Linked DNA regions of Arabidopsis thaliana. The protein of the gene in region 1 interacts with the protein of each later gene in a pairwise test. Each region holds a gene or a part of one and is shown on either strand. Other genes may lie near its edges. The genes, in order: SEP4, AGL92 and AT2G38950.

What was found.
Region 2: the proteins of SEP4 (region 1) and AGL92 interact in a two-hybrid assay, tested with the Arabidopsis thaliana proteins (one large-scale study listed by BioGRID).
Region 3: the proteins of SEP4 (region 1) and AT2G38950 interact in a two-hybrid assay, tested with the Arabidopsis thaliana proteins (one large-scale study listed by BioGRID).

What each region holds. Positions count from the first base shown.
Region 1 is NC_003071.7:1,124,187-1,134,732, forward strand, and holds SEP4 (K-box region and MADS-box transcription factor family protein), read left to right. Parts: upstream 1-5,081; 5' UTR 5,082-5,435; coding exon 5,436-5,620; intron 5,621-6,388; coding exon 6,389-6,470; intron 6,471-6,538; coding exon 6,539-6,600; intron 6,601-6,671; coding exon 6,672-6,771; intron 6,772-6,851; coding exon 6,852-6,893; intron 6,894-6,963; coding exon 6,964-7,005; coding exon of another isoform or gene 7,006-7,056; exon of another isoform or gene 7,057-7,081; coding exon 7,082-7,254; intron 7,255-7,351; coding exon 7,352-7,442; 3' UTR 7,443-7,652; downstream 7,653-10,546. Other genes in the region: MRH6 (Adenine nucleotide alpha hydrolases-like superfamily protein), read left to right, coding at 7,977-8,298, 8,590-8,678, 8,752-9,039. UniProt on the Arabidopsis thaliana protein: Probable transcription factor that binds specifically to the CArG box DNA sequence 5'-CC (A/T)6 GG-3'. Plays an important role in the determination of flower meristem identity. Involved in the specification of sepal identity.
Region 2 is NC_003070.9:11,319,961-11,329,060, reverse strand, and holds AGL92 (AGAMOUS-like 92), read left to right. Parts: upstream 1-4,884; coding exon 4,885-6,142; intron 6,143-6,232; coding exon 6,233-6,369; downstream 6,370-9,100. Other genes in the region: ROPGEF14 (RHO guanyl-nucleotide exchange factor 14), read left to right, coding at 528-968, 1,072-1,226, 1,301-1,375, 1,462-1,731, 1,808-2,158, 2,231-2,587. UniProt on the Arabidopsis thaliana protein: Putative transcription factor.
Region 3 is NC_003071.7:16,256,257-16,268,696, forward strand, and holds AT2G38950 (Transcription factor jumonji (jmj) family protein / zinc finger (C5HC2 type) family protein), read left to right. Parts: upstream 1-4,546; 5' UTR 4,547-4,692; intron 4,693-5,258; 5' UTR 5,259-5,342; coding exon 5,343-5,612; intron 5,613-6,161; coding exon 6,162-6,239; intron 6,240-6,368; coding exon 6,369-6,815; intron 6,816-6,888; coding exon 6,889-7,092; intron 7,093-7,281; coding exon 7,282-7,443; intron 7,444-7,706; coding exon 7,707-8,075; intron 8,076-8,191; coding exon 8,192-8,788; 3' UTR 8,789-9,014; downstream 9,015-12,440. Other genes in the region: PHT1;4 (phosphate transporter 1;4), read left to right, coding at 2,244-3,848; ERO2 (endoplasmic reticulum oxidoreductins 2), read left to right, coding at 9,199-9,375, 9,510-9,644, 9,728-9,974, 10,141-10,251, 10,376-10,494, 10,588-10,692, 10,791-10,993, 11,098-11,221 and 2 more.

The DNA.
Region 1 (10,546 bases):
CGTCTCTGAAGTCTCAAGTCTCAACTATCAAGTATCTCAATAGTGTGTATCAAAACTTAAAAGGCAGCAGTAATATGTCAACACGTGTCAGTACAGGCACGTGATGTGAGTATGACTGTTTCGTTCAATCGCAACATATGCTAAAATTATAGTTTTTGGAACCAACGTTAGATCGACACGTAGCCTACTCTGTCCCCTTACCATCAACCTGCGTAAGCTTCCCTCATCTTACGTTCTTGATTGTTAGTTAAAAGCAAAACTAAAGATTTGAAGAGTATCTTCAATAAAGTACAATTATAAATGTTAATTAATAAAATTGAATGTTTTACGACTTTTTTGGCCAACTTCTATTCGTGTTACCTCGTATTATGAACTAGGTTAAAGTTACTTTTTCTAATACATATCTTTTAGAATTTTATACTCCATATGATTTCTATTCTCTATCTCACTCTATAGAGTAATCAAAATAATCAAGCGATTCTTCAAATTCATATAACTTAGAAATATTTGATTCGTTTTAAATGGATCTTGATATTTGATAATTAATTAATAAAAAGATTTGATAGATTATTATAACATATATTTTATATTATTGAACACAAAATGATGATGTAAATACTAAGTTAGCGTTTTTTTAATTTGGATTAAGAAACACATACGGACTGAATTAGTGTTTTCTGATATGATAATCTAACAATCATAATCTACTTACGATCATATATTATATAGGCGAACAGCAGCAATTGCATGGGTTGCATATATTATCTATATTATATATAGATTTATTTTTCAGACGGTTTAAAAGTTCTTTTTCAAACAAGAAACATCTAACATGTACTATATTTGCAAAGCCAGAAAGAGCTGTTAAATTGTGAAAGAGATTCCAATAAATACTAGACGCAGAAAGGCAGAAAAAGTTGTTACAAAATCATGTCTCAACATTTTAAAATGCCTATGGTCCATCGAGTAGTAACTAGGGTTTTAGACCATCATGGGGTCTAATTAATGTAGTTTCAATTTGTTAGTCTAATTATACGGAAGAAACCCTGCAAAATGATGTTTGTAACCTATAGCCATTTAACAAAATTTTAATATTTTGGTCTGCAAAATCATATTAAATGATAATCGTACATACAAGGGACCTCTCCCCAACAGAACAAGAGAATTGCTACTAGCTACTAGTTACCCCAAATATATACATACATAAATGAACAGAATTAATAATTGAGTTTCTGAAAATGACTATTGTTTTTTTTTCTTTCGAATTGTACTAATAAAATAGCTTCATGTGGTTCTTGCAAAACTTACCTTTTTTTTATGTCAACCACTCACATTAAATTTAAGAAAAAAAAAATTGGTTATATAAACTGGAGAACAATACTTTACAAATGAATCAACAACGTTCCTAAGTCTAAAAGTATGGATAAATCAAGAATTAATTATGAGTTTACCATTTGTGGCATTTGTAAATTTTTCATAAAATTATAAAAATACGATTAACATGTGTTTTATTCGTTATGTTTGAATTTATTAGGTTTTATGTGTTCTTATAAAGTATGTATTTTAGTATTAAAAATCGTAAATTTAATAATTTTAAATGATCAAAATAGTAAATCCGTAAAATTTTAAGAAAATGGCAAAATTCATAAATGTCACTCCAAAAAATAGTAAAAATCCTTAATAATTTCAGAAAACACTATGTTTCAGAATTGAAAAAAACGAGAAATAAAGACAAGAGAAAAAAAGATACTAAATATATCACACTAGCTCCCATGGAGGAACTTAAAATCGTGAGAAAACATTTTGAAGAAAACTTGTCACTTTCATGCAGGTTAAGTATTATCAACTCTTAGATATATATTTAGCTCATAAATAAACTGACTAGTCTACATTAAACTTTAGTATACAGAGAAAAAAGGAAGATAAATCTCGTATTTTGAAATTTTTGCATCAATCATGCATCTTAAGCCTGATATTAAGATCTGAATTCTTTCAATAGAACGATCCAATTGACATCTTATTTCTAATACATCTAGTTGAACAATAATATTATCTTCTGCAAATATGACTAACTAATACTTGAGCCTTATTCCAAATTTTTCGAAAACAGGACAATAATGTATCATAATTATTTCTTTCTAATTAAGCTTATCATATATAATTATGCATCATTTAATAACTCCTTTTTCTTAAGTGATTACTGATTAGAATGATTAATAATGTATAGACCATCTCTAGGAGTAATTTGTGGAGACGTATAGAAAAATAATTATTATGACTATTAGGTGAGTACCCACGCTATGCGTGGGTTGTTGTTTTGAAAATTGTTTAGAAAAATTATGTTTAACTATTTTTATTGTTAATTTATGTTATTTTTGTGTATGGTATTTTGTAGTTAATAAAGTTATATTCATTTTTTGTAATTATATGTGTATAGTTAGATTCACTTTTGATTCAAATATCAATTATATTCTAATCTTTTTTCACTATCATGAAATACTTACATTAACAATACATGATACAATGGTATGCAATTATGTTTACTTATTTGGTTTGAAAGTTATCTAAATTGATTCTAAGCAAAAAATTCAATCTATGTATTCTCTCCTAATCTAATATTCCAATCATAGGCTCATAGCTAAATATTGGATTGACTTGATTTGAATAACAAATGTATAACTAACTATACTCATTTGCTTTAAAAGATTTCACATGAAAGAGAAAAAAAAAAAGCAAAAATTAAATAGTATTTTAGATCAACATTTTTAGGTTTCTCTCTTTGCATTTGCATATATCTCTATTGGAGAGAGTGTCGTATATTAAATTTTTTAGTATATATAACATCTCAAAAGACCATTACTTAAAAAAATATGTATGTAATTATTAATGTTATCCATTTATCGTAAAGCACAAAAAGACCTTATCATATAGAAAAAAAAAGTAATAATAAGAAAATACTAAGTTAAAATTCTAAACTAATAAAAGTTAGCAAACAAGTAAGTTGCAATACCCGAAAATTTCTACTCGTTATCAAGTAATGACTATTAAAAAATAGCAAAATAAGAAAAGTAAAATGAAAGTAGTGTTTAATACATTAACATGATTTTTCATATTTTTTCTTTTTGATGAAGACATTTAGTTAAGAATGGGATTAATGGGTGATTCAATGCAATGTGATTTTTTTTTTTTTATCACTAAGTTTTGTTATTTTTTAATGATATTAATTTAGAATGACATGTGGCACTCATTGGTGTGATGATGTGTTACTCATATGGAGAGTGTTGGCCAACTTTCATATATATAATTTTATCAGAGATCATTTCTAAACTAGACATTTTAAAGTTGTGTATTATCTACCTAAATTATCCATATAAAAGATGGAATAGCACATTGCAAGTATTATATCGTATTTATTCTTTTTAGATGTTTCCTAAAGCATCAATCTATATGTTGCATGTTGTAAGGTCACAACTTGGAACCATAAAAGAATGGTGGAGGATAGCAAGTGCGTAGAAGATAAGGATCATTTTACATGATAATCTGGATAAGACATGCGCATATACATCAAGTTTCCATCAACAAGATTTATAGTACCCAAAAGAAAGAAAGAAAAAAACTAATATTCCATCGATCTATAGAAGTTGAACAAAATAACTAAGGTACCAAGTGAAATATGAGTCAGCAAGCAAAGTTAAAAAAAAAGTTGTGTGAGACATATCACATGAGTAAATTAACAACAACCATCATCATCATGATGTAGATAGTATAAGATGCCATGAGAAGAAGTGAGGAAAAACAAATTAACCTGACAAGAAGCATCCTAAAAAATTAACCTGTCAAACAATTACCAACCTTTAAAGTGAAAAAAAAAGTTGAAAACACTAAGGCTTTGAGAGCTTAAATGTTCATAAACAATTTTCCTTTTTCTTGCCAAGATCAATCTGCAATTTTTGTGTCAAGCATGTACGAGTTATTGTTATAAATAAATCTAGAGTCGTTATGTGAGTTCTACTGTATTTTATGAAAATCGATTAACTAGTAAAATACATCAGTCTTCTTAAGAAGAGAACCTAAACACGAAACCCTCTAATAAATGCTAGATTGCATATTCTTACACATCTATATTAGTGTCAAAAACATGATTGGACTGATTTTATAGTATTGAACAAGAACGTGACTAAATTTTCAGAAATTGGAAAGAAAACAAAAACATGATATATTTCAATATCTAAATTTCACCATATATATATAAAAAGACATAGTGCATGTGAGACGTAAAAACCTTTGTAAATAAATTTTCTCTTTAAATAGTAAATAGTACCATATCAGATTAACCATTTCAGAGTGACATAATTTGTTTGTAACCGTATAGATCCGTTTTATGCATTAAAACGATCGTGAAGTAGCTGTCATACGAAAGAACTTGTCGGCAAGAGAAGCAAAGCATAAGCAGAAAAAAACATATCTTTTAGAAGCCTATCATTTTCTTACTTTTATTCACAAACACACACAATATACATTATAAGTGTTATCTACATAATCTAAACGTGTCAATACCTGAAAAAACAACAAAACTTTATTTGCACTTCTTTCATTTCATGAACAATACATAACCAGATATTAGATAGGACTTGGACTTGTGAATATGCTCTATTTAAGGCATCTTTATAGGTTATATTTAGAATCTTTTTCTTATTTCTTTTTTGAGCATATTATTAAACTATGGACTAGATCTGATGAAAGAAAGCAATCTATTTATATATTATGGTGTAAATATTATCTTTAAAAAATCCAATGGAGGAGAGTGAAAGAGAAAAGTTGAAGCATTTTGTTTGGACTATAGAGAGAGAGAAAAAAAGATCTTAACTCTCCTTAGAAAAGTACTAGGAATCAATTTTTATTTTCTGCAAAAACAAAAGTGTAAAAGAAAATTAATAATAATATATATTCCCTGATGAAGTAAGACTAAAATAATGTAACTACACAAAAATACTTTTTAGAATTTATAATATTTTATATTAATTTTTAAAAAAGGAAAGTTGATAAGATTGGATATAAGTTTGGAAGCATTTATTTGGCCAAGAATGGCTTAGCATCTCTGCAAAACCAACACAAAGCTATATTCTCTTAAAAATCAGTTCAACAAAAGAAGAACCTGAACACAGTTGGCCCACCACCACCACTACCACAATCTCCTCCTCCACCACCACCACCTAGTCACCGGAAACCAATTCATGCCCTAGATTAAGAACCAGAATCCTTTTGAGACAAGATCTATATATACACTCTACACATTTACTTATACACTTTATCTAGATATAGATGTGTGTGTGTATAAAGGTTCTTTTTCATTACTTGTTGGTTTAGTGATAAAAAGGAGGAGAGTTTTCAGTTGGGTTTTGGTTTCTTGGTGAGAGAAGAGAGAAAAAGAGAGGATGGGAAGAGGGAAAGTTGAGCTGAAGAGGATAGAGAACAAGATCAATAGACAAGTTACTTTTGCAAAGAGAAGAAATGGTTTGCTCAAGAAGGCTTATGAGCTTTCTGTCCTTTGTGATGCTGAGATTGCTCTTCTCATTTTCTCTAACCGTGGCAAGCTCTACGAATTCTGCAGCAGCCCTAGGTGAAAACTCTTTAATCTTTGATATATCTACTTTTTCCCTCAAAGTTTCTATATTTTGATCCATGTTAGGGTTTTGATTCTTAAGGATTATAAAGGATATGAAAACTTTGTTGTCTTTCTTGATTTAGTTACAATTAATTAGTTGATTAACTACGGTTTATTTATTTTGTGAGTTCATACGCATAAATCTGGCTCGTAAAGAGTGAGATTAAGTGAACGATGATCAAAGTACGTACAAAGCGTCTAAGTTGCTCTAGATGATGATTAAAGCTAGAGAGTAGAGACTATGGCTGAAAAAAGTACAGTAGATATGTGTAGAAGCTATAGAGCATATATAAATATAGTTAAAGCTTTTACACATGAGATTGAGTGTTGTTGATATTGTTTCCAAAGGATTGATCAGAGTTTCCAAAGAGACTAAGAATTGACCTCTGGATATATACACAAAGCTGTAAAAGATATAAAAAATACTTTGACTACTTCTTTAAGTTAGTATCTCTCTCAAGTACTACTTATGATCTTATTAAAGTTATAAAGAGACAACTGTGATGATACTCAATTTCACTAGCTACTTATCATTTCCACATAAATTTATTTTATTTTTCTTGCACAAACATCATGAGATTGATACCCATTTTGATGTTCTTGATGTTTTTACATGGAGATGCTTTTAAGGTTTTTTTTCTATATTATTCTCATAATGAAATTTAAAGTTTGGTTTATCAATATATGTTAAAAGTTAAAATGATCATTTGTTTTTATGAAAAGTGGTATGGCGAGGACGGTTGATAAGTATAGAAAACATAGTTATGCAACAATGGATCCAAATCAATCAGCTAAAGACTTGCAGGTACATATCTTCTCTTTCAATCAAAGACTGACCTCAAAGTTGTCCTTAATTTTATTTTAAATTGGCAGGATAAGTATCAAGACTACTTGAAGCTTAAATCAAGAGTTGAGATCCTTCAACATTCACAAAGGTACTTATATATCCTAGTCCATCTAAATGTAACTATATATGCTCTTGTTACTAAATGTTTCTTCTTTTTAGGCATTTGCTAGGTGAAGAGCTATCCGAGATGGATGTGAATGAGCTTGAGCATCTCGAACGCCAAGTAGATGCATCACTAAGACAAATAAGATCTACCAAGGTATATTTCTAAGCTTACAAAATCGACAAATTTTGTTTCGAATCTTTCATCCTAAATCGTTGTTTCGTTTTCATTGCCAGGCTCGGTCTATGCTTGATCAACTATCTGACCTCAAAACTAAGGTACATACTTTATATAATAAAAGTTGCACAATATCCAAATACAACAAGCTCTCATTTTCTCAATTTACAGGAGGAAATGTTATTGGAAACCAATAGAGATCTTAGGAGAAAGGTAGCTATCGGAATCTTTTACCGCAAGAAACTGAAACCATTTGTCATTTGAAATCTTCCTATTCTTTCTTTCTCAGTTGGAGGACAGTGATGCAGCACTTACTCAATCGTTTTGGGGAAGTTCTGCTGCAGAACAACAACAACAACATCAACAACAGCAACAAGGCATGAGCTCTTATCAATCAAACCCTCCAATTCAGGAAGCAGGTTTCTTCAAGCCTCTACAAGGCAATGTAGCATTGCAAATGAGGTATCTACAAACAAATAGTCAAGACCCTTGAATTATTTTACCTAATCAGAAATACTTAACATTTGTTTGTGCTTCTTTATTGTTTTGATATAATTAGCAGTCATTACAATCACAATCCTGCAAATGCAACCAACTCTGCAACAACATCACAGAATGTTAATGGATTCTTCCCTGGATGGATGGTCTGAAAACAATACATATCTATATATGTACACATATGTGTGTTTTATAGATCAAAGATCATTGCTTGTGTCATTTGATTTTTGCCAGAGAAACATAGTTCATTATTACAAAACTTTGTTATATAATCAAGGCTCTAATGTCAAACACCAGATTATTACTTTTTTGTTCTTTGTTTTTTGGCTCTCTTGAAATATAAAATATTGTTTTGGGAGCTTATTTTTGTTTTATTTTTGAACATCATATGAATTTGTTAGATTATGACAAAAGTTCTCCGGATTAGAACATGTCTCAAGAATTGGATTCTGAAACAAGTAGTGCTCTGCATTTGTATTAAGATTGTGATGTTGATAATTAAAACGACTAAATAATTTTTGCCAGGTTGGATTATAATGAACAAGTCCAAAATGTTATTTTAATTTTATTTTCATGGCAAGCACGTTCAAGAAATGGCTCCAACCAAAAACCAAACAAACATAACAGTATTTAAAACACAACTAAAACCTCAAAGAACAGAGAGAAGAAAAACAAGAATTAAGAAAATGGGGAAACCAGCAGGGTATTGGGTAAATAAGATTAGGACATCATTCAAAGGAGGATCATCGTCGAGCAAATCATTAGATGAAGGAAGTACTTCGGGTTCGAGAAAGAACGGTTCGAAGCATAGTAAGAATCTGAAAGCAGAGGATGCTAATAAGAATGGTGAAGGAGGAGGAGTTCAAGCTGAGAGTGGGAGGAAAGTGATGGTTGTTGTGGACACAACTTCACAAACTAAGAATGCTCTTCAATGGGCTTTAACACATTGTGTTCAAGATGAAGATAATATCACTCTTCTCCATGTCACAAGAACACCCGTAGGACAAGGTATATTACTCATATGTTGCATTTACTAGAACCTTTAATATAGAGGTAAAACCATTAGAGCCAAAACTCGAAACCTTGTTATATATCTTGCCTAGAAAACAGGGTGAAGACCGCTTCTTTTGGGTTTTTAGGCGAATCAGACCTTAGATTTGGTTTTGGGCTTTTTTGGGCCCAATGTTGTTTTCTGTGTGGTAGATTTGGTTTTGATTTGAGTATGGACAGGACTATAGCATATTTGACATCTATACCTTATTGAGTCGCTATTAACTAATGTGATCATTGTGTTAATAGCTATAGATGAGACACAAAGGGAGAGAAACTCAAGGGCTCATGAACTAGTTCATCCATTGAAGAATTTTTGTCAACTCAAGAAACCTAACGTAAGCTTTAAGCAACAGCAAACTGATATTGATTCAAAAGTTCTCCTTTGTTGACATTAAGGTTTATTTTCAGGTCAAAACGGAGATAGTGGTGGTTGAAACGGCGGAGGAGAAAGGTAAGACGATAGTGGAGGAATCAAAGAAACAAGGAGCAGGCGTTTTGGTGTTAGGGCAGAGAAAGAGAACCTCGAAGTGGCGCGTGATTTGGAAATGGCGTACGAAGGGAGGAATGGGAGGAGGAGTGGTCGAGTATTGTATTCATAACTCCGATTGTATGGCTATTGCCGTAAGGAAGAAGAGTAACAATGGAGGTTACTTGATCACCACGAAACGTCACAAAGATTTCTGGCTCTTGGCTTAATTTTTATTTCAAACAAATTCATCCCAAAATCTTTTTTTTTTTTTTTTTGTAATCGAAACGAATCTTTTTAAAGAATTCATGTTTTATGGATTAATTGATAATCTGTATTCGTTATAAGACCTTTTCTTATATATGTAAAGACTTCATATTTGTCAATGTTTGTTATTGTGTTCTACCTCAAAGTATAATAGAATAGTAACATTAAGCAAAGCTTTATCAAAAAGAGAGAAATAGTATAAGCAGAGAAAGAAGTCACATAGAGCAACATTATTTCATAAAGTAATATTATTACTTCAACATATAACGGTCATACCCTCCGATATCTCCTCCTCCATTCCCGACTTGAAACCGGTAAACACATGCTTTGGTGACGGCTCCGACGGTAACGACTGTAGTTGTAACGGCGGTTATTGTGAAACTGAGGTTGATACCTATTAGAGTGAGGACAAACAGGACAGTAATAGTTAGGAGACCCATATGATTTGCTTTATCTCTTTTGTTCTTCTACATATTACTATCATAAGCAGAATTATAAGTTATATTTAGTTGTCTTGTATGGGAATAATAGAAGTTACGTTATTGGAACAAAAAATAAGGGGAGGTCAAGATTTGAATGGCTGATTTATTGAAACGCCAGTTCAATTTCCTAGGACGTGACCAAGACTAGAGAATTTATTAATGTAATGTAATTGCATGTTCCCTTCGAAACAACGTTTCGGGTTACTAAGCAAACTTTTAGATATAGACGTCTTGGGAATTTGAATGCTTTTGTTCATAATCAATGAACGACAAAGGATAGTTTGTACTAAGTTAAACCGTTCTGACTTCTCGTAGTGATATATTCAACGGAATATTGTGGTTAGTGCGAACTCATCCGTCAGTAGTCCAATCCATACTATTTTTGGGATGGACAATAAAGCGATGCAGACTTAGTTTAAAGACCGTCTGCAGTTAGTCCGCAACAGTTTTCTTTTATTTTTGGGGGTCCGCATCATTACGGACTATAATTTGTGAATGATAAATAAAAAGCGATCCAATGTATAGACGCTTTTGTCCGCTTAGACAACTGTAAACATTGATATATTCTCTAACTTGTCAGTAGTTTATTCTCTAAAGCCTACATTAATATATATGCCTATTATATAACCTGTAAGTAGTTAAAATAGAATAAATTTTAATTTCACTAATCTCCTAATAATAGGCTAATACACTAATCATTTATTTTTGTAATGTTATTTTTCTGGCAGAGTAAACGAGAAAAAAAAAAAGATAGAGAATGGAGATACACTAATCAAGGTTGAGAAACTATTAATCACTTTAGTATAAGGAAAATAAATCATAACTTTAAGTTGATAAACTTAAAATTTTAACTATTAAAATTTTGGTGCAGCACAAATTAATTAAGCAGTTAAATCGTATTACATAAATTATTTAAAGAGAGTATTTAAAAATAGACCAATATAAATAGGAAATATACTCTAGTGAGCCCAAAAGATGACTAGTTAGT
Region 2 (9,100 bases), on another chromosome or scaffold:
AAAAAGTCTTTGTAGTGGGTCCGTTTGGAAATTTTCACCACATGGGGATACTAACTCAATTGTTTTTGAGACTTTTTTATACATTTCCTTTTGAGAATGGAAGCATTTTAATTGTTTAGCAGTCTTGGGTTAGCAAAAGTCTTGACTTTAGCTATTAAAGACTAGAGGGAACACAACGACTTTTATTCCTTTTTTATCATTTGTTTTTTCTTGTATAGAAAACACAACACTAGTCTGCATAAATAACGTGTCTAGTGATACCATTTGCTTGATTCTCATTTTTGATGAATGAGACAAGAAGTAGATAGATGTACTAGGTGGGGTTTTCTTTATAGTCAAAATCTGAACGGTCTCTTAATGATACGCAGTGTTTAATTAGTTTTCTATTGTTGACCTCTTCTTTTACCTTTGTCAATCTCTTTGTAGTGTGCAAGTTTCGGTGTCTTACCACTTTGTAGTCTACAGTATATAAGGTGAAAGTATATGTGTTAAAGTTCTTACTGGGTGGTGTACCCCTTTCTTTTCAGAAATGATTACATATTATGGCTTGGAAACTTGTATTATCAATAATCAATCATATGAAGAAGAGAGTGGAACAAGTCGAGGAGATGGATGTCTTACAGATTCGTTAGATGATGATGCATTTTCAAGCTGTTCATCAAGCAAAGATGCCTCTAGCTCTTTTTCTTCGAAATGGTTACCGATGAAGAATGATGAACACAGTTGCGATGGTTTGAACTTATCTGGAAGGTCTCAACATTTTGATGCTAAGGAGAAGAAGAAACAAGGCTATGGCAGTAGCCAACATTTTGATGCTAAGGAGAAACCAGGGTATGTGTACTGTCATTTGGATGTGGAAGCTATGAAGGAGAAATTTTCTAAGTTATTGCTCGGCGAAGATGTCACTGGGGGATGTAAGGGTGTCCAAGTAGCTTTGGCTTTGTCAAATGCTGTAACACATCTTGCTAGTATGTTTTACAATTTCCTAGCATTCTTAAGCTTTATGTTCTTTGATATGGTTAGAGGTTTCGTGTGAACTGTTAAGAGTAACTGACTTTAATGAATTTGCAGCGTCGATTTTTGGCGAGCTCTGGAAATTGGAACCTTTGTGTGAAGAGAAGAAACAGAAATGGAGAAGGGAAATGGATTGGCTACTTTCTCCAACTAACTACATGATTGAGTTAGTCCCTTCTAAGCAAAATGATGCCAATGGAAGATCACTTGAGGTACGTAGCTAAGGTGTTAAAATAAATAGATATACTCCAGAGGAAGAAACTGAGCTGAATCCTTGTTTTAACAGATAATGACTCCGAAAGCCCGCGCAGACATTCATATGAATCTCCCAGCTCTTCAGAAGTTGGACTCAATGCTAATTGTGAGCGGATTATCTCTTTTGTTAATCTTGTCTTTTCTTATTCTTCTATTTCCTGATCTGATTAAAGTTGCATTACAACTCCACAGGAGACACTGGATTCTATGGTGAACACAGAGTTTTGGTATTCTGAGATTGGTAGTAGAGCTGAAGGGAAGAACAAGAGTACAAGTGAGAGCAAACGATGGTGGCTTCCATCGCCACAAGTGCCTAAACCTGGACTCTCTAACTCAGGAAGGAAGAAATTGCTTGACAAAGGAAAAGTTGTTTATCAAGTCTTCAAAGCTACAAAAGCCATAAACGAAAACATTCTTCTTGAAATGCCAGTTCCCATTGTTATCAAGGAAGCAATACCTAAAGTAAGCTTGCACTCTTTATTATCCCTTGTGATAGTCATAATTATACAACTACCTCTAAAATCTTGTTTTGTAACAGTCTGGAAAGAACAGCCTCGGTGATGAACTGTACAAGATGTTGGCTGTGGAATCTGCAACAGTAGATGAAATCTTTATATCGCTCAATCTGGGAACCGAACATGCAGCACTCGAGACAGTTAACAAGTTAGAATCTGCTATGTTTGCTTGGAAAGAAAGGATTACAGAACAAGGCAGCAATGGTAAATCCCCTGTAAGAGCATCGTGGTCATTCGCTAAAGATCCGTTGTCTGAAATTGGTCGCAATGAGTCACTCTTGAACCGAGCAGAAGCGCTTAGAACTCAGATCAAATCCAAACACCCTAATCTCCCTCACTCGTTTCTTGATGCTACAAAGATCCAATATGACAAGGTATAAATAAACAAAACTAACTACATCTTTCTTAGTCCAATGGTCTGAAACATCTTTCTTCTCTGTGTTCAGGACATAGGTCATGCGGTTCTCGAAGCATATTCCCGAACACTTGCGAATCTAGCTTTCCGGATTCTTTCAAGAATGGGAGAAATCTTGAAAGAAGATTCTTTAAGCAACCCTAACTCTCCTGCACCACCGAGTTGCTTCCCTAGCTCCCGTGACCCTTATAGGACACCTGAGAGACCTCTGCTTTCGTCCCGTGTAAGGCATTCTTTAACCGATGACATGAACAAAGCCGATGGGACAGAGACTGGTTTAGATTTTTTGTTTGCAGATGCTAAGGCAAGTAATTCAGTGAATACAACTCCAAGTAGAAGCAGTAGACTGTGGTGTTTGAGTAAAGTGCCTTCTGATACTTCTCCTTGATTTAGAGGGTCTTCCTAGTTCGATGCGTGCCACCTGAAGCTTCTCCTTTACTTTGAAGGTTTTAAATTATGAAGCCTGAGATGTTGTAAATGTATTAACATATTGCAGTTAAAGTACGAATTCATACAATTTTGTTCATAACTTCACGGTGAAAAGCAAATTTTTAATCCGGGAAAAAAAATTGATACGATTGATTATGATTAAATTTATTAGTCTCTTCCAGAAAATACTTTACAAAATAAGGTATATTCAAAACAAAAATGTCCAAAACCATAATCTATTTATAATATACTAGACTAGAATCATTTTAATTACTACTTTCTTGAAATCTAATTTGAATCTCAATTAGGTTACTATCCCGACTTCCATCTTTGAATGAAGCATTAGCTGTCATCTCGACAAATGATCAACTAACAGGTATTTTCACCAAGCCACTATCTTTTGCACACTTCCATTAAGTCACTAGCAAGATTGGAGTATAAGAAGTCTTCATTTAGAAGGGATCTATCTTGGTTGGATATGTACATATTATGGGCTTAAGGATAATTTGAAATTAGCACAAAGCCTTAATGAGTTTCCGTTTGTACATACTACCTAATAAGTATAACAAAATGGCAAGCTTCACTTCGTCTATCATCCCGACACTAATGAGGTTTTTTGGGTTGGATTTAAGTTCAACTGTGCCATCCGATACTAACACAAAATATTGTTAAAGGCCAATTATGCTTACTAACTCAAAGAAAATCGAACAGACCATAATTGTTTTCAATATAGCAAGTATAGAGATCAAATGGATCTTGATTACCAAAAAACTGTTCTTGTAAAAAATTTCATATACATATAACTCAATAAGGACCTATAACTTTTCAAAAGATTATTTTACCATATTTAAAAAATCTTTAACTAAACTTTTGAACATGACCTATATATATAGTTCAAACATCCTAACTAGACATATAAATAAAAATGAAAATTATTGGAGGGTCTTAATAAGATACTCCCCCATTATAATCATAACTAAAAAAAAATTTAAGATAGAAAGAAGAGAAAATTTCTCAAATAAGAACTTTGGGTATACTAACTAGAACTTTACAATTGTCTCTTTTTAATTGTTCATTTTTATTTTTAAATTAAAATTATTAAAAATATTAAGACTTTAAAAGTTGGGATACTTTTTTGGGATATGTGAAAACCATTGGAAGTGCTCTAAACCTCTTGTCAAATTTCTAGTTTCAAATATTTACAGCTCATAATTAGCTGGCAGTACAATGAATATTTTAACCAAATTAAGAAAAATATATGCTCCAAAAGGTATAATATATGCATGAATTCATAATTTATCTCTAAAATAACTGATTTTCTTTTATATCCAATCATGATTTTACACGTGTACATTAATTGATACGTTTTAATGTCATAAATAGTCATATTAGTGTATAAGTCAAAAGATGGAAAAAATCCATATATATTATTATATTAATGTATAAAGACAGTTTTACCCTTATTTCCTTTTAATTAAAATCAACTTATTGACTAAACAAAATTAGATGGACCTTCTGGCCATGGCAGATTTTTTAAAAATATTTTATTAAAAATTTAATTCATATAACTAAATCTGTGATTTTAATATTTTATAAGGAAAAATTTCTTTATTACTTTATTATTATTTTTTATATTTTATTATTGTAAAGATAAATTTTTATACATATAAAAGAGCATTTTTTATATATTAAAACATGATAGAAATTTTAATGATATTTATTATTTTATTATATTGGTTTACAAACTTTTTTCTATGTAGGCTTCCTTTAATGTCTACATATTTCAAAATTTTCGCTCGTTCTAAATATTTCGTAAGACACGTTAATTCTTTCCCGAAATAATTTTACTATAGATAAACAAAGTTCCTAAGCTTTTATATATTCATGATTTTACATGGAAATTAAGCTGTAAAACTCTATTCGAAAAGAAAAGAAAAACACTTAAAATATTAGAAATTTTCACAGTTTATCAAAGCTTAATATTACTCTTAAAAGAAAAGTGAGTAATATACGAAGATAAACTATATTTAGTAAAGAGAAAAGAGAATCCAATCTTAGTCATAGCTTTAATTAGTGGCCTAATCAATTAATAAGACAGTAGCCAAAAGATTTAATGCTGTAACTACAAATTAATGAGTCCAGAAACGTGATAAGCCACACCCTGAGTAAAAAATCACCCTTTTCGTTGCTATATAAACAGTCTTGGGCCAAGAAACTAAACAAACACAAACACCAAAGAAAAGAAAAATAAAGATAATGAGGACGAAGACTAAGTTAGTACTCATACCTGATAGACACTTTCGGAGAGCCACATTCAGGAAGAGGAATGCAGGGATAAGGAAGAAACTCCACGAGCTGACAACTCTCTGTGACATCAAAGCATGTGCGGTAATCTACAGTCCGTTCGAGAATCCAACGGTGTGGCCGTCAACCGAAGGTGTTCAAGAGGTGATTTCGGAGTTCATGGAGAAGCCGGCGACAGAACGGTCCAAGACGATGATGAGTCATGAGACTTTCTTGCGGGACCAAATCACCAAAGAACAAAACAAACTAGAGAGTCTACGTCGTGAAAACCGAGAAACTCAGCTTAAGCATTTTATGTTTGATTGCGTTGGAGGCAAGATGAGTGAGCAACAGTATGGTGCAAGGGACCTTCAAGATTTAAGTCTTTTTACTGATCAATATCTTAATCAGCTTAATGCCAGGAAGAAGTTCCTTACAGAATATGGTGAGTCTTCTTCTTCTGTTCCTCCTCTGTTTGATGTTGCGGGTGCCAATCCTCCTGTTGTTGCAGATCAAGCTGCGGTAACTGTTCCTCCTTTGTTTGCTGTTGCGGGTGCCAATCTTCCTGTTGTTGCTGATCAAGCTGCGGTAACTGTTCCTCCTCTGTTTGCTGTTGCGGGTGCCAATCTTCCTGTTGTTGCAGATCAAGCTGCGGTTAATGTTCCTACTGGATTTCATAACATGAATGTGAACCAGAATCAGTATGAGCCGGTTCAGCCCTATGTCCCTACTGGTTTTAGTGATCATATTCAATATCAGAATATGAACTTCAATCAAAACCAACAAGAGCCGGTTCATTACCAGGCTCTTGCTGTTGCGGGTGCCGGTCTTCCTATGACTCAGAATCAGTATGAGCCCGTTCACTACCAGAGTCTTGCTGTCGCGGGTGGCGGTCTTCCTATGAGTCAGTTGCAGTATGAGCCGGTTCAGCCTTATATCCCTACTGTTTTTAGTGATAATGTTCAATATCAGCATATGAATTTGTATCAAAATCAACAAGAGCCGGTTCACTACCAAGCTCTTGGTGTTGCAGGTGCCGGTCTTCCTATGAATCAGAATCAGTATGAGCCGGTTCAGCCCTATGTCCCTACTGGTTTTAGTGATCATTTTCAGTTTGAGAATATGAATTTGAATCAAAATCAACAGGAGCCGGTTCAATACCAAGCTCCTGTTGATTTTAATCATCAGATTCAACAAGGAAACTATGATATGAATTTGAACCAGAATATGAGTTTGGATCCAAATCAGTATCCGTTTCAAAATGATCCATTCATGAATATGTTGACAGAATATCCTTATGAATAAGCGGGTTATGTTGGAGAGCATGCACACATCCCTTTCATGGACGGAAACTACTACAACTACCACCAGCCACCAACCGTTGGTCTTACTTCCACCGGTCACATGCCTTCCACCACCACCACCACCACCAACAACAACAACAACAACAATGTGTGATGTGTTTCAGTAGTGTGCATTTTGTGTTTTGTTTGTTTTAAAAGACCAGTATTTAATTATGCTTTTCCTTTTCAATTAGTTGTTGTAAGAGTTGAAGGTTTTACCTTTAAGTCAGTTCTATTTCAATGAAGTCATTTCTGTTTGGTCACAAATTATTTTTTACGAGCTTTTTGTTCTTAAAATGCATAACTAAATAGATCTGCCAAAATCAGATAGGATTTTGTTTCCAAAAAACATCAATACTTTTCAAGCCTTCATTATGGTTAAATACTTATATGATTAAATATTTTGAAGAGAGTTCAGGACGGAAGTTGTATATATAGGAGGAGAAGTACCATTGAGTATATATACGAGGAGAACCATTGTTGAAATTGGTCGCAGTGAATCACTCTTGAACCGAAAAGAAGCGCTTAGAAATCAGATCAAATCCAAACACTCTAATCTTCCTCACTCGTTTCTTAATGCCACAAAGATCCAATATGGCAATGTAAACATAAACAGAACTAATTACATCTTTCTTAGTTTATGTTCTGAAACATGTCATACTTTACAATACAATTATTTGTCGATATTAAATCCTTCTTCTTTGTTTTCAGGACATTGGTCATGCATGGGCTTCTTGAAGCATATTCCCGAACACTTGCGAATCTTGCTTTCTGGATTCTTTCAAGAATGGGAGAAATCTTGAAAGAGTTATAACTCCCTTGCACCACCGAGTAGCATCCTTAGCTCATGTGACCCTAAAGAGCACCCCAAAGGCCTTTGCTTTGGTCCCGTGTAAGGCCTCTCCGATGGGACAGAGACTGGTTTTCTATTTTTTGTTTGCAGTTGCTAAGGCAGGTAATTCAGTGAATACAACTCCAAGTAGAAGCAGTAGACTGTGGTGTTTAAGTAAAGTGCCTTCTGATACTTCTCCTTGATTTAGAGGGTCTTCCTAGTTCGATGCGTGCCACCTGAAGCTTCTCCTTTAAAAACCGTTTTAAAGACTGTATTAAGATTGAATATGGTTAAATTGATTTGGCTCTTCTGAAAATTTTAAATAAAAAGCTGAGATATTAAGAAAATAAGGTATATTTTAGGATATGCATATATTATGGGCCTAAGGTAATTTGAAATTAACACAAGCCTTAATGTATCTCTATCTGTACCTATCACCTACTAAGTATTCATTAAGATTTTTTTTTAGAAAAATGGCTTCCTAGCGTTCTATTTCAACTATAGGCTTCACTTCGTGTATCATCCCAACACTGACGAGGTTTTTTGGGTTGGATTCAAGTGTGTACTTCAACTAAGAACATATTTTTGGTGACCAGTTATGCTTACTACAACGTTCAGATAAGATCGACTATACCTTGAATTGTTTTAGTATGTGTAAATTAAATACATAGATTAAACGGATCGTGATTACCAAAAAAAGTTCTTATGTATATATATGGACCTTATTTAAGATATCTATAGTTAAACTTTTGAACATGACCTATAACTATAAGTAGCTTAAGTCGCCCCTAACTAAACATATAAATAAACATGAAAATTAGTGTTTTATGGCAGATGAAAGTTATTTATTATCTGAGCCAAAAATATACGGTGAGCTTGAAATAAAATTTAGCATTTAAAGAGAATGGAAATTAAACTACTACTGGATTGAATTATTTACCATTCTCTCATGTAATATCTTCTACTCTATAGTATTTTTATAACTATTTGAAAACATTTAATCAAAAATCAATAAATATGCTATTTATTTTAGAGAAATTTCTACATTTTGTAAATGTAATTGATAAGAAGAGAACCAGTCAAACAAAGTCTAATTAACGATGTGCATTCTTGTTTTTCTTATTTTTTGGTTATTGTTAGACCTCCATTTTTTTTGGATTCTCTCTCATTATAATCATACCACACAAAAAAAGTATGAGAGAAATAAGAGAAAGGTTCTTAAATAAGAACTTTTGGTATATTAACTTGAACTTTGGGTATATTACACTTGTCTTTTTTTAATTGGTTCATTTTTTGCTTTTAAACCAAAAATTAATATATAATTAAACTATATTTAAATATTAATACTTTAAAGTTTAGATATTTCTTTGGGTATGTAAAAACAACTGGAAGTTTTCTATACGTAGTCTAAAATCTTTAATTTCCCTATTTACAGCTTATAATTAGCTGGCAATGCAATGAAATATTCTAACCCAATAAAAGAAAAAGTATTCTCCAAAAGGTATAATATATGCATGATTTAACAAATTATCTCTAAACTAATTTATTACTGAGCCAAAAGAGGAAAGAAATCCATCTATTAATGTATAAAACAGTTATTTTATCCAAATTTCCTTTTAATTAGAATCAACTTAATGATTAAAAAAAATCAGGTGGACCTGCAGGCCATGACAAATGTTCTTTTAATATATTTATTAAAAAAGTTCATATAACCAAATCTGAGATTTAAAAAAATATATTTTTCTCTAATACTCTACTATTATATATTTTCATTTGTTATTATTGTAAGTATCAAATATTTTTACTAAATTAATTAATATAAATTTTAATGATATTTTATTATCTTATTATATTGGTTTACAAACTTCTTGGTATGTTCTCCTTTAATGTATATAGGTAGTTTAAAGATTTTCTTAGAAATAGAACACATATTTCGTGAGATTCATGTTACATTGTTTTCAAAAACTTTCGTGCTTTCTAAATATTTCGTAAGACTCACGTTATATTGTTTTCA
Region 3 (12,440 bases), about 15 Mb from region 1:
GAATGGTTGGAAATGGAGATGCCATATTTTTTTTATTTTTTTTTTCCACAATGGAGATGCCATATCTATAAAAAAAGAAAAGAGGTTGAACTAGTTGGGTCGGCGCGACGAAAAGAGAAAATACAACTTGCTGGGCTAAATCTAGAAATTTCCATTTCTGTAAATGCCTTAAATTAATGGCTCTTATTTATCAAATACGGAACAAACCCTCTTTACACCTTACAAGTTACGGGTATAGGGTGTTTATTCTCCCGTACCCGTTCAAACTACACTATATAATAAACCATTGACATTGTAGACCTATTACACATCCTGCAGTTATTGGCTTATTGCGATCTTTATTAAATCCAAAGATACATACTATATCGAAGAAACAAAAAGTCAAGAAATAATAAAACGAAAATAAATGAAGGCATCAATAAAAGCTTACCGCTCACATGTTTATTTTCTAATAACTAATTTTTATTTAAAAAGCAGTTTATACATCTACCAAATTTATTTCTTAGCATAAATATATATTTGGGTTTTGACTTTTAAGTTCTTTCTGACTTCTGAGTGATAATCACCAGTTTGCAACTTATATTTGCCTAAACCGCATGCCAATTGTCATGTATCGTATCTAGTAATGGTATTAATGACGAGGATCCCAAAATTTAAATTCCACTTTCCAAGCATTGAGCTCTTTAAACAATTCATGGTCAACTTAATTACAAGGAAAAAAAAGAACTTATTGTTATAGTGGAACAGCTATTTTTTTGGATATTAAAAGAATAATAACAGCAAAACAGAATTATCGTGTCCTAATAATACCTAAGGTCCTAAACGAAGCAAAAAAGTTGGTAAATAAGGAAGAGAAAACCTACAAGATATTAAAACGGTGTCGTTGTTCGGAAGAATATACCGAAGTAGCAAAAGGAATATCTCATTAGAGAGTCCCTTATAAATGACCGTTTTAATACACTTCAACTCTGTCCTTGTTCATAGGCAGCTTCAACGATCATTCCACTTCCTTCTTCCTCTCTCTCAACATTTTCCCCTGAAAATAAGGAAACTAAAGATTCTTCCTCTCTCTTTCTACACTCTTCTGACAATACTAAAACACTTTATCAGATCAGATCCCACATAAACTTTCTGTAAGTGTTTCTTTTAAACTATGTCTGTTGATGTTAATGTTTATGGATGCATAATGATTTTAGTTAGGACGTTATCGTTTTTGTTTTGTTAGGTGGTCCTCTCTCCCTGTTCAATCTCTAATTCGTCATGTCTTATTCGTTTCTTTCATTGGAAAAAAAACACTGAAAACTAGTTTTTGTTTTTCCAACTTTCTTGGATCATTAAATAGGATTGCTCTCTCTTCAAACGTATTTTTGTTGGATCTCTCCTCTTCAGTTCTAGAAGACTTTTTTTTTTTTCCTTTTGTTGAGTGCATGATTTCAAAAAATTTCAATTGAAGAAGTTTGTGATATTTTGTTGTTTTCTTTCTTCAATAAGAGGTGTGTCCGCAATTAAGACAAAACAACTCGCTGTCATACTCAGTTAAAGTCTTTGTTGCTCGTGTTCAGATTTTCACTAGACGTCACAAGTCAACTTTTGTGGGTAACTGAAGACAAATAGTAATCGTTGAAAACTACAATAATAAAATAAGTACTTCCAGTGTCTCCGTTCACCTTTAAAAAGTCGAGATAAACCCAAAAAAATAGGAATAAACAATCTTTTGTCATATCCGTTAATAAGTTTTAACAAATCTTTACAAATTAATAAGAAGAACGTATATAATAAATATTTCAAAATTAACGAGTGTGGACTAATATTGAGTTGACTTTTATTATCACTTCATTTCAGTTCCTTGAATATGCATATACTGTATATGGTTTCTCTTGCAATAAGTAAGCATCATACATATGTACAGGAACATGAGAAGTTGTCGTTAACAACTACTTCATCTAAAAAACATACACATGTTATTTTTCTAATATTGCCTGACTTCAAGTTCGGTGAACATACTTTATTGGGTTGTAATTGTGAGATCAATGAAATGAGAAAAATTAAATAGAACTTTTATGATATTTTAATGTTAATTGATACTATATAAAGCAGGGTCTAATTCTATTTGCTTTTAAAACTGCCTAACTTATTTCAAGTTCGGTATAACTAACTACTTTATTGTTTGTAATGAGTTATTTAAGGGTACTTATATGTCGAACTTTTTTTTGTGTGATGAAAAATTGCAGAGGAGAAGAAGAATGGCAAGGGAACAATTACAAGTGTTGAATGCACTTGACGTGGCCAAGACGCAATGGTACCATTTCACGGCGATCATAATCGCCGGAATGGGATTCTTCACTGATGCTTACGATCTCTTTTGCATCTCTCTCGTAACGAAGCTCCTCGGTCGTATTTATTACCACGTGGAAGGCGCACAAAAGCCTGGGACTCTCCCTCCCAACGTCGCAGCCGCCGTCAATGGCGTTGCCTTCTGTGGGACTCTCGCCGGTCAGCTCTTTTTCGGGTGGCTTGGTGATAAGCTCGGGAGGAAGAAAGTTTACGGTATGACGTTGATGGTCATGGTCCTTTGTTCAATAGCCTCTGGTCTCTCTTTCGGACATGAGCCAAAAGCTGTGATGGCCACGCTCTGTTTTTTTCGGTTTTGGCTTGGATTTGGCATCGGTGGTGACTACCCTTTATCCGCAACCATCATGTCTGAATATGCGAACAAGAAGACTCGCGGAGCCTTTGTCTCTGCGGTTTTTGCTATGCAAGGGTTCGGAATCATGGCTGGTGGTATTTTCGCTATTATAATTTCCTCTGCTTTTGAAGCTAAGTTTCCATCCCCGGCCTATGCGGATGATGCCTTGGGATCCACGATTCCTCAAGCTGATTTGGTATGGCGGATAATCCTGATGGCTGGTGCTATCCCTGCGGCTATGACGTATTACTCAAGGTCGAAGATGCCTGAGACCGCAAGGTACACGGCTTTGGTTGCTAAGGACGCAAAGCAGGCAGCTTCGGACATGTCTAAGGTTCTGCAAGTGGAGATAGAGCCAGAACAACAGAAATTGGAAGAGATCTCAAAGGAGAAGTCCAAGGCCTTTGGATTGTTCTCAAAGGAATTCATGAGTCGCCATGGGCTTCATTTGCTAGGCACTACATCGACATGGTTCCTTCTCGACATTGCTTTCTACAGTCAAAACCTTTTCCAAAAGGATATTTTCAGCGCGATCGGATGGATTCCTCCCGCGCAAAGCATGAACGCAATTCAAGAGGTTTTCAAGATTGCCCGTGCGCAAACGCTAATCGCCTTGTGTAGCACGGTACCTGGTTACTGGTTCACAGTTGCGTTCATCGACGTCATTGGAAGATTTGCGATTCAGATGATGGGTTTCTTTTTCATGACGGTCTTTATGTTTGCTCTGGCTATTCCTTACAACCACTGGACTCACAAGGAGAACCGAATCGGATTTGTTATCATGTACTCGTTAACATTCTTTTTCGCCAACTTTGGACCCAATGCTACAACCTTCGTTGTGCCGGCCGAAATCTTCCCAGCCAGGTTCAGATCAACCTGCCACGGTATCTCTGCAGCATCAGGAAAATTAGGAGCAATGGTTGGTGCGTTCGGGTTCTTGTACTTGGCTCAGAACCCAGACAAGGACAAGACCGACGCAGGATACCCTCCAGGGATTGGGGTCAGGAACTCGCTTATTGTGTTGGGTGTAGTTAACTTCTTAGGTATCCTCTTCACTTTCTTGGTACCTGAATCTAAAGGTAAGTCACTCGAGGAAATGTCCGGTGAAAATGAAGACAATGAGAATAGCAACAATGATAGTAGAACGGTCCCAATAGTTTAGGTGATATAATACGCCTTTTGTAATAATTTTCGTTTTTTCTTTCTCCTTGTCTCTAGCAACTCAAGTTGTTCTTTGTGTAATCCATTGATACCTAATTAATGCTAGAGAAATCAAAATTTTCATGAGTCGATTTTAAATCAGTTCCTAAATTGAAGATTTATTAGACTTGAAGAAGCCGTGCAAGTTGTGCAGTATATATGTTAAATCACAATTTATGCGTTGCGGGGAAGTTGAGACCACAGATAAAGGCTTCACTTAAAGATACATTATGGCTTATTAATCTCTAGGGTGAAAATAACGAAGTGCTGAAGAAAAACTCTGTTCTTTTAACAAACTCCCTTGCACCGAACAACATTCTCATTGTTCATCGACCTATGGAAGACCAAAAACGATTGCTACTTTGGTAAATTTTGTAAACTTTAGGGCATATGAAAGCGGTGGGTATATATTATAGTTTCACAATGGTAAGAAAAATATTTGGGATGTTACAGTATTTTTAGGCATGGTAAAAAGGCCCATATTGGACATAAAAATATGTAATCCCTCAAATGAAGTGGAAATTAGATAATTTATTTATTTATAAAACTCTGAATTTAGATAATTTCTTATCTTTTGTTTTTGTAAAAAAGAATTTCATGTTGGATAAAATATATATTGCATTTATTGTGTGTGACTATCTTATTGGTGGACAAAATATACATTTTTTTAAAAAAAGTATTATCATCGGAAATTAGGTTTTTCGACGGGAAAAAAAACCAATCACCATAACAAAATCCAGAGGCTCTGTTGTTCTTGGGGTTGAATGTGTAATGTCTCATAAGTCTTCGGATCTCACTTCGTCCGGGTATGTGTTCTACTCGCTTTTCGTCTGTTAAAAACTGGACCTTCCGATCGCTAATCAATATCAATCTTAGCTTTTTTTCGTCTTCCGGTTTTAGATTTTGTATCCTAAGCTCCGATACTCTTTACGAGAAGCGTTTTTATTTCAAGCTCAGAGTCAATCTTAGTATAGGGCTGCTAATGGTTTTCATGTCTTGGATCACATCCTGTGGTTGAAAAAGGAGTATTCTTTACTGATTCTTTTGAGAAAGCAATAACCAATAAAGTAGAAGGCTCTCCTTCGTAATTGACCTGGAATCTGTGATATAAGTATTGAAAGTACCATAATTTACAGTTTGTCTCTCAGTTCTTGAAAGTTTAGATGCTGTCTAATGATATATGGTGTATGAGTTTAAGTTCCTAGACTAATCAAGAAGACCGTTTCTGTGATCTTTGTGATGATGACTGAATCTTCTAAGTAGCAGTCTTTTTCTTCACACCTATCATTTTTTAGTTGAATAACGTATCGTAGTTACTGTGTTTAATCACTTGGTTTATACTTGACATTAGATTTCTTTCCATCTTCTGCAGGAAGTTGCATCTTTATTGACCTCATCTGAAGTTCAATTTATTTCGTCTTCCGGAAATCAATCCTTTTGGTGGCTGTAAGGTTTAATGGGCATTGAAGGTGTATCAACGTATTTGAAATCTGGAAATATGGACACAATTTCTGCTCCGCCAGGTTTTGTATCTCAAACATCGTTTGTGCTGAGGAATGTACCCCGAGACAAAGAAAGTCCCAGGTCCGTGTCGAGACAAGAGCAGACAACTGGATTCGGCACAGATGATAAAGATAGTTGCAATATGTTTCTTAAAAGCCGACCGTGGATAGTGCATGGTCACACAATTCCCAGCTCAGAGGCCTTAAGGCCGAAAAAAACTGAGGTCTCATACTATGTCTACCTCTTTCCTCTCTATCTTCATATAGAGTAGTTTTTAGCTTTGTATGCTGTTGAGAAGAGCAGTAAAGGGAATATAGTTATTTGAGAATTTTGAGCTTAGCCGTGAGGACAATGGTTCGACACCTTGTTGGAGGAGGGTCTTTTGAGTATCCTTATTAGAGCAAGAGCCAATTTGTTGTGGAGGAATGCTTTTCCTTTTCTTTTTATCAAAATAGTTATGTTTTCCTATTATTTTTTAGTTCTTTAGTCTATTATAAACATTCTTTGAGTTCAAAGAGGAGATATTTCTGGGAAATATGCATAGTCATTACTACTAATAGACATTATACTTGATTGATGTTTAAGTTGTTAGTTAAGCCGGAAATTTCATGTTGTGGATTGCATAAGTGATTTAGTATGAATTCTTTAGAGCTTGATGTGCTGATTCGGGTAGGTCTACTATGCCTTTAAGACGTATGAGAGTATAGGTATCATGATTGTGTGTTCATCCTTTCACATTCATTACTAAAGTATGAAAAAATGCTTTTCATAGGTACGGAGAAGACGGCCCCTCAAAGTGTCTGAGACCAAAGTCCTTGAGGAAGCTCCTGTGTTCAACCCAACCGAAGAGGTCAGTTTTGTTTTCTTTTTATGAAAGAAAAATTAGGGTATTAAACTAAATTATCTTTGGTAAAGAATCATGTACTCTTACAGAGGAATATATTCCTTTTCCTCTTACCCAGTGTTACTGAATTATCAGGAATTCAGGGACACACTCTCATATATATCAAGCTTGCGTGACAGAGCTGAGCCGTATGGAATCTGTTGTGTTGTTCCTCCACCTTCATGGAAACCTCCATGTCTTCTCAAGGAGAAACAAATATGGGAGGCTTCTACATTTTTCCCTCAAGTTCAGCTCTTTGGAATTCAGACCGAGAACCGAAAGATTAAAAAGGAGGTTGATGCAGATAGTAATGATGCTGCATCTGAAGGGGTTCAGTTATGTAGAGTAGAACGTGGTCCTGGGTATACTTTGAAGTCCTTTAAAAACTTTGCAGATACATACAAGAAGAGTCATTTTGGCATGAAGGATGAGGTTTTGGGTTCAGAGAACTCATCTCCATCACTTAAACCAAATGAGCTAATTGTGGCAGACATTGAAAAAGAGTACAGACAAATTGTTGAGAGTCCACTTATTGAAATTGGGGTAATGTTAAAAACAGTTGTTCTGCTTTTATATATGAAACGGAATATATCACTAACTTGTCGTGTAAATTTAGGTGCTTTATGGCAATGATTTAGACACTGCAACGTTTGGAAGTGGATTTCCCTTATCTGCACCATCTGAATCTAGCAAATATTCATCAGGTTGGAATCTGAACAGTACGGCTAAGCTTCCTGGTTCTCTTCTATCATTAGAAGACTGCGAATCAGTTTGTGTTCCTCGTCTAAGTGTAGGAATGTGCTTGTCTTCCCAGTTCTGGGTAAGTTTTAAGGTTGATGTCAAGCTATGGTCGTCAATTTCTGAAAGCATAAGTATAACTGGTCAACGCAGAAATAGCATTTGTTTTGCAAACTACCACTAGAATAAATTTTGCAGCATTGTAAGTTTATTAATCTAATTTGCTTGTGTAGTCTCATATTTGTCTCTTGGAATATCTGTTACTGAACAGAAATCTGAGAAGGAGAGACTCTACTCTCTCTGCTATTTGCATGTGGGCGCTCCTAGAGTGTGGTATTCCGTAGCAGGATGTCATCGATCAAAGTTTAAGGCTGCCATGAAAAGCTTCATCCTTGAGATGTCAGGAGAACAGCCAAAGAAGAGTCATAATCCTGTAAGTATTTGAACACATTAAGCATCAATACAAGTTACTCTTTTCAAAATTCCGAAAGAAAATAGACAGAAGAGTGACCAACAACGATTCCACTTGCGATTTAGTTCTTGTTCAGCATACACGACCATGACATGACATAGAGAGATCACACAGTATTTGGATTTATCTGTTCAAAGCAAATCCTATCATTACTTTGTTAAATTTTTGTGAGCTATTATATACTAGTATTGGTTCATTTACAAGGGAAGCAATTCATTTGGCAGGTGATGATGATGTCTCCATATCAATTGAGCGTGGAGGGTATACCAGTGACCCGCTGTGTCCAGCACCCTGGCCAGTATGTTATTATATTTCCAGGGTCGTATTACTCTGCCTTTGACTGTGGCTTCAACTGTTTGGAGAAAGCAAACTTTGCTCCCCTTGATTGGTTGCCCCATGGGGATATTGCTGTTCAGGTGAATCAAGAGATGAGTAAAACGTCGCTGATATCGTATGATAAGCTATTATTTAGTGCTGCAAGGGAAGCTGTAAAATGTCTTAAGGAATATGGGTTGTCGAAGAAAAACACAGCATGTTACACGAGATGGAATGATTCTTGTGGGACGGATGGGTTGTTCTCCAACATAATCAAGGTAATACTCACTGCTCCTCCTCTTTGCTTGTCTTATTCCTCAGATTATGCACTAAAACCTGCGTAGAATAACTTCCTCAGTACCTTTTGCTAATTTTGTTTCTCTCTTTTATGTAGTCACGGATCAAACTGGAGAAAAATAGACGTGAATTTCTTATCAGTTCACTAGAATCGCAAAGGATGGACAAGAGTTATGATGCTGTGAACAAAAGGGAATGCTGTGTATGTCTTGGGGATTTGTATCTTTCCGCGGTTAACTGTTCATGCTCTGCTAATCGTTACTCGTGTCTGAACCACATGAGGAAGCTCTGTGCATGTCCGTGTGACAGAAAGAGTTTTCTCTATAGGTACACTATGGATGAGTTGAATCTTCTCGTTGAAGCCCTGGAAGGTAAAAAGCTCAGCTCTATGTTCAGATGGGCAGGCATAGATCAAAAATTCTGTGCTTCTCCAGCCACCACAAGTTCAAAACCCGAAGAAGACAAAGGCAAGGAAACAGATGAGGTTACACCCTGTAATATCACGAGGAAAGATGTCGCAGCTGGAACTAAGGACCAGACAAGAGTGAAGGCGAGATCTTTGGCTGATATACTGAATGTTAAAGATGGAAACAATGATGCAAAGGAGACTTTAGAATCTTGTTCTAAGAAATCAAACAGGCCATGCGATAACGATTCCTCTGAGGCCAACGCGCCAAAGAAACAGAAGCAGTGATGAATAATGAAGGAGATTGTAGTTTAGTCACAAAATGCAAGACGATAAAAACACTTTTGTCTTCTTCTTAAATCGATATATGAAGCAACTTTTTTTTTTGGTAGGCGATACATGAAGCAACTTGATATGTGTTTTGTTTGTTTTGGCTAATAGACAAAAACATTTTTTTGGTTTCACTAATATTTATTTACGTTGACTCTAACTAAAGTAGAAGGAAAATATTTGACGAAAATACAGAGCCGTTGGATTTGATGACTTTATGAGATTGAGATTAGTTTTGACTTTCTTTTTTTGAGAGCTGCGGTTTTGTAAAAATGGCCCACAATTTCTCTGAAAATTCAAAATTCAGTGCCGGAGATTACTCGTCGTAGTCGTCTGTGTCAGATTTAGTTCTATTTGCGATAGTGCGAATGGCGGAGACGGACGTCGGAAGTGTGAAGGGGAAGGAGAAAGGATCGGGAAAGCGCTGGATTTTGCTGATCGGAGCTATAGCTGCCGTTCTGTTAGCCGTCGTGGTCGCTGTGTTTTTGAATACTCAGAATTCGTCGATTTCTGAATTTACCGGAAAAATATGCAATTGCCGTCAGGTTAGGTATTTCTAAAAGCTCTTTGTAAGTTTCTGAATTGGATACTTGAGCTCGTGATTAGCTTTGAATCTCAGCGATTACTTTGATTTTGATTTGTATACTAGACTTCTCAATCGTTTTGATTTTGTTGTTAGGCTGAGCAGCAGAAGTACATTGGGATAGTTGAAGATTGTTGTTGTGATTATGAAACTGTGAATCGGCTAAACACGGAAGTGTTGAATCCATTGCTTCAGGACCTTGTTAAGACACCATTTTACAGATATTTCAAGGTTGGTTCATATTTCTTCTTTGATCATGAAAGTATCTAGAGGATTTGGAGGTGTGTTGTGATAGGTTTGAATGCGTTTAATAGGTTAAACTGTGGTGTGATTGCCCGTTTTGGCCTGATGATGGCATGTGCCGGTTAAGAGACTGCAGTGTTTGTGAATGTCCTGAAAGCGAGTTCCCTGAAGTATTTAAGAAGCCATTAAGTCAATACAATCCTGTTTGTCAAGAGGGGAAACCGCAAGCTACTGTTGATCGTACCTTGGATACTAGAGCTTTTAGGGGTTGGACAGTCACAGACAATCCCTGGACCAGTGATGATGAAACTGACAATGGTAACTTTTCTTTACAGTCTACTTCATTTTTGATTCTTACATGTCGAAACTCTATCGCTACTTCATATATAACTGGCTCATGAGATGATATGTAACAAGTAGGGGTTTTAGCATCGAATTGCTATGTGTTAGATGCAGTTTTTGATGACTGTATATATGATCGCAGATGAAATGACATATGTTAATCTTCGGCTTAATCCTGAACGGTACACTGGCTATATTGGCCCATCAGCTAGAAGGATATGGGAAGCTATATACTCTGAGAACTGTCCCAAACGTAAGCTTCACCATATTAAAGTGTTTCTTGTTTTCTCTATTTGTTTCTTTATACTCTTATTCTCCAAGTGGCTGATTAATTCATATGGCTGTCTTAACTCCTGCAATTATACTGGCTTCTATAGATACATCTGAAGGATCTTGCCAAGAAGAGAAGATCTTGTACAAATTGGTTTCTGGTCTTCACTCATCCATTTCAGTTCATATCGCTTCAGATTATTTACTTGATGAAGCTACAAACTTGGTAAGATCTGCCGTACGAATCTGACTTATCTGTGATATGTATTTCTTAAGCAGATATAGAATGACTCAAAGACTACTTTTTTTTGTATTTCAGTGGGGTCAAAACCTGACGTTGTTGTATGATCGTGTGTTAAGATACCCAGACCGCGTTCAGAACCTATACTTCACATTTTTGTTCGTTCTTAGAGCAGTAACAAAGGTCAGTTACTTACCACTTTACTTTTCTGTCTGGATCCTAGGAAAAGGGTCCCAGTGGTCTAGAATAGTCACAATTAGTTTTTTTTGCATGATTTGTAGGCAGAAGATTACTTGGGAGAGGCTGAATATGAGACTGGTAATGTGATTGAGGACTTGAAGACCAAATCTCTGGTGAAGCAAGTAGTTAGTGACCCCAAAACTAAAGCAGCTTGTCCAGTACCATTTGATGAAGCAAAGCTCTGGAAAGGCCAACGTGGACCAGAACTGAAGCAACAATTAGAAAAACAATTCAGAAACATAAGGTCCTTCTTGAGTCCTTTAACTAATTTTCTTGAGCAATGATAAAATTTCCACTGACTAGCTAAGTTAAATTCTTTTTTATTACTTGAATCGTCTTGCATTGCAGTGCAATAATGGACTGTGTAGGCTGTGAGAAATGCCGTCTATGGGGAAAGCTTCAGATTCTCGGTCTCGGTACTGCATTGAAAATTCTATTCACTGTCAATGGTGAAGACAATTTGCGTCATAATGTGCGTTTCTAACACACCTGGAGACGCATTGTCCATTTGCACCGTGTATTTTCTTTAAGCGTCTATTGGGAACGGCATTTTAGTGATGTAGCAATCTTTGTTGTTTTGTTTCAGCTCGAATTGCAAAGGAACGAAGTGATTGCGCTGATGAATCTTCTCCACCGATTATCTGAATCCGTGAAGTATGTTCATGACATGAGTCCTGCGGCCGAGAGAATCGCAGGTGGACATGCCTCTTCAGGGAACAGCTTTTGGCAAAGAATAGTGACATCTATAGCGCAATCAAAAGGTAAGAAAGCATTAAAGAATTTGTAGACTTTAATCGTGAAGTGAGACAAGAGGTAGAAACTTATTTTCTCTGGTCACCACTTGCTGAAATGCAGCTGTATCTGGGAAGAGAAGCTAGATGTTCAATGAGGTCTGGGGGTTGTGGGATCAAGCGCAGTGATGGCGGGAGAGTATACTTTGTTGTAAAGTAAAGAGAGGTTAATTTTGCAGGAAACAGTTATACAAAGCCCCGTTAGATGCCAACCCGAAGCTGAGAACTTTTTGATTTACCCTTTAACGTGAATTTAGAGAATCTTACATGAAACTAAAAATATTGTACGGATTTTGAAATTTGTTGACAGTCCCTTCTGAAGTAAACATAGAATGGGTGGAAAAACGTGAATGAAGAGAGACATTTTTATTTGTTCGGTATCAGTTTAGGCATATCATAAATTGCCTACTCACCAAAGCTCCCATTACAAAATGTTGGGGTTTGGTTTACAACTTCGCAGATTTAACTACCTGAAACACATGCAATGTATAAAACCTTGAGGATAACTACTCTTGTATAGTAAAACTTCCAATTTCTTCAGGAAAACCTGATAACTAGTGTAGAAGTTATCAACCATTGGAATAAAGGTCTTTTAATATTGCAGCTGCATGTAAAAACACTAATTGTTTGGTCAGTGGTGCTATTCACATTGCATATGCATAAATATCAAAAACAACTGTTGGGTTACAATCAGTGTCATGCCAAGGTCAATAGAAATTTTCAAATTTCCCTGCACACTTTTATTTTAGTGCAAATGTATTCGAAACTTCGAAGTTGTATATACTATCTTGATGATAACTGCTATGTAATCCTAACTTCCTAACTCTCCGGATTTGGGAGAGCTGGAGAAACGTAGAGCTTTGCGTATAGTAGTAGTAATCAGCAACAAATTACGCAATA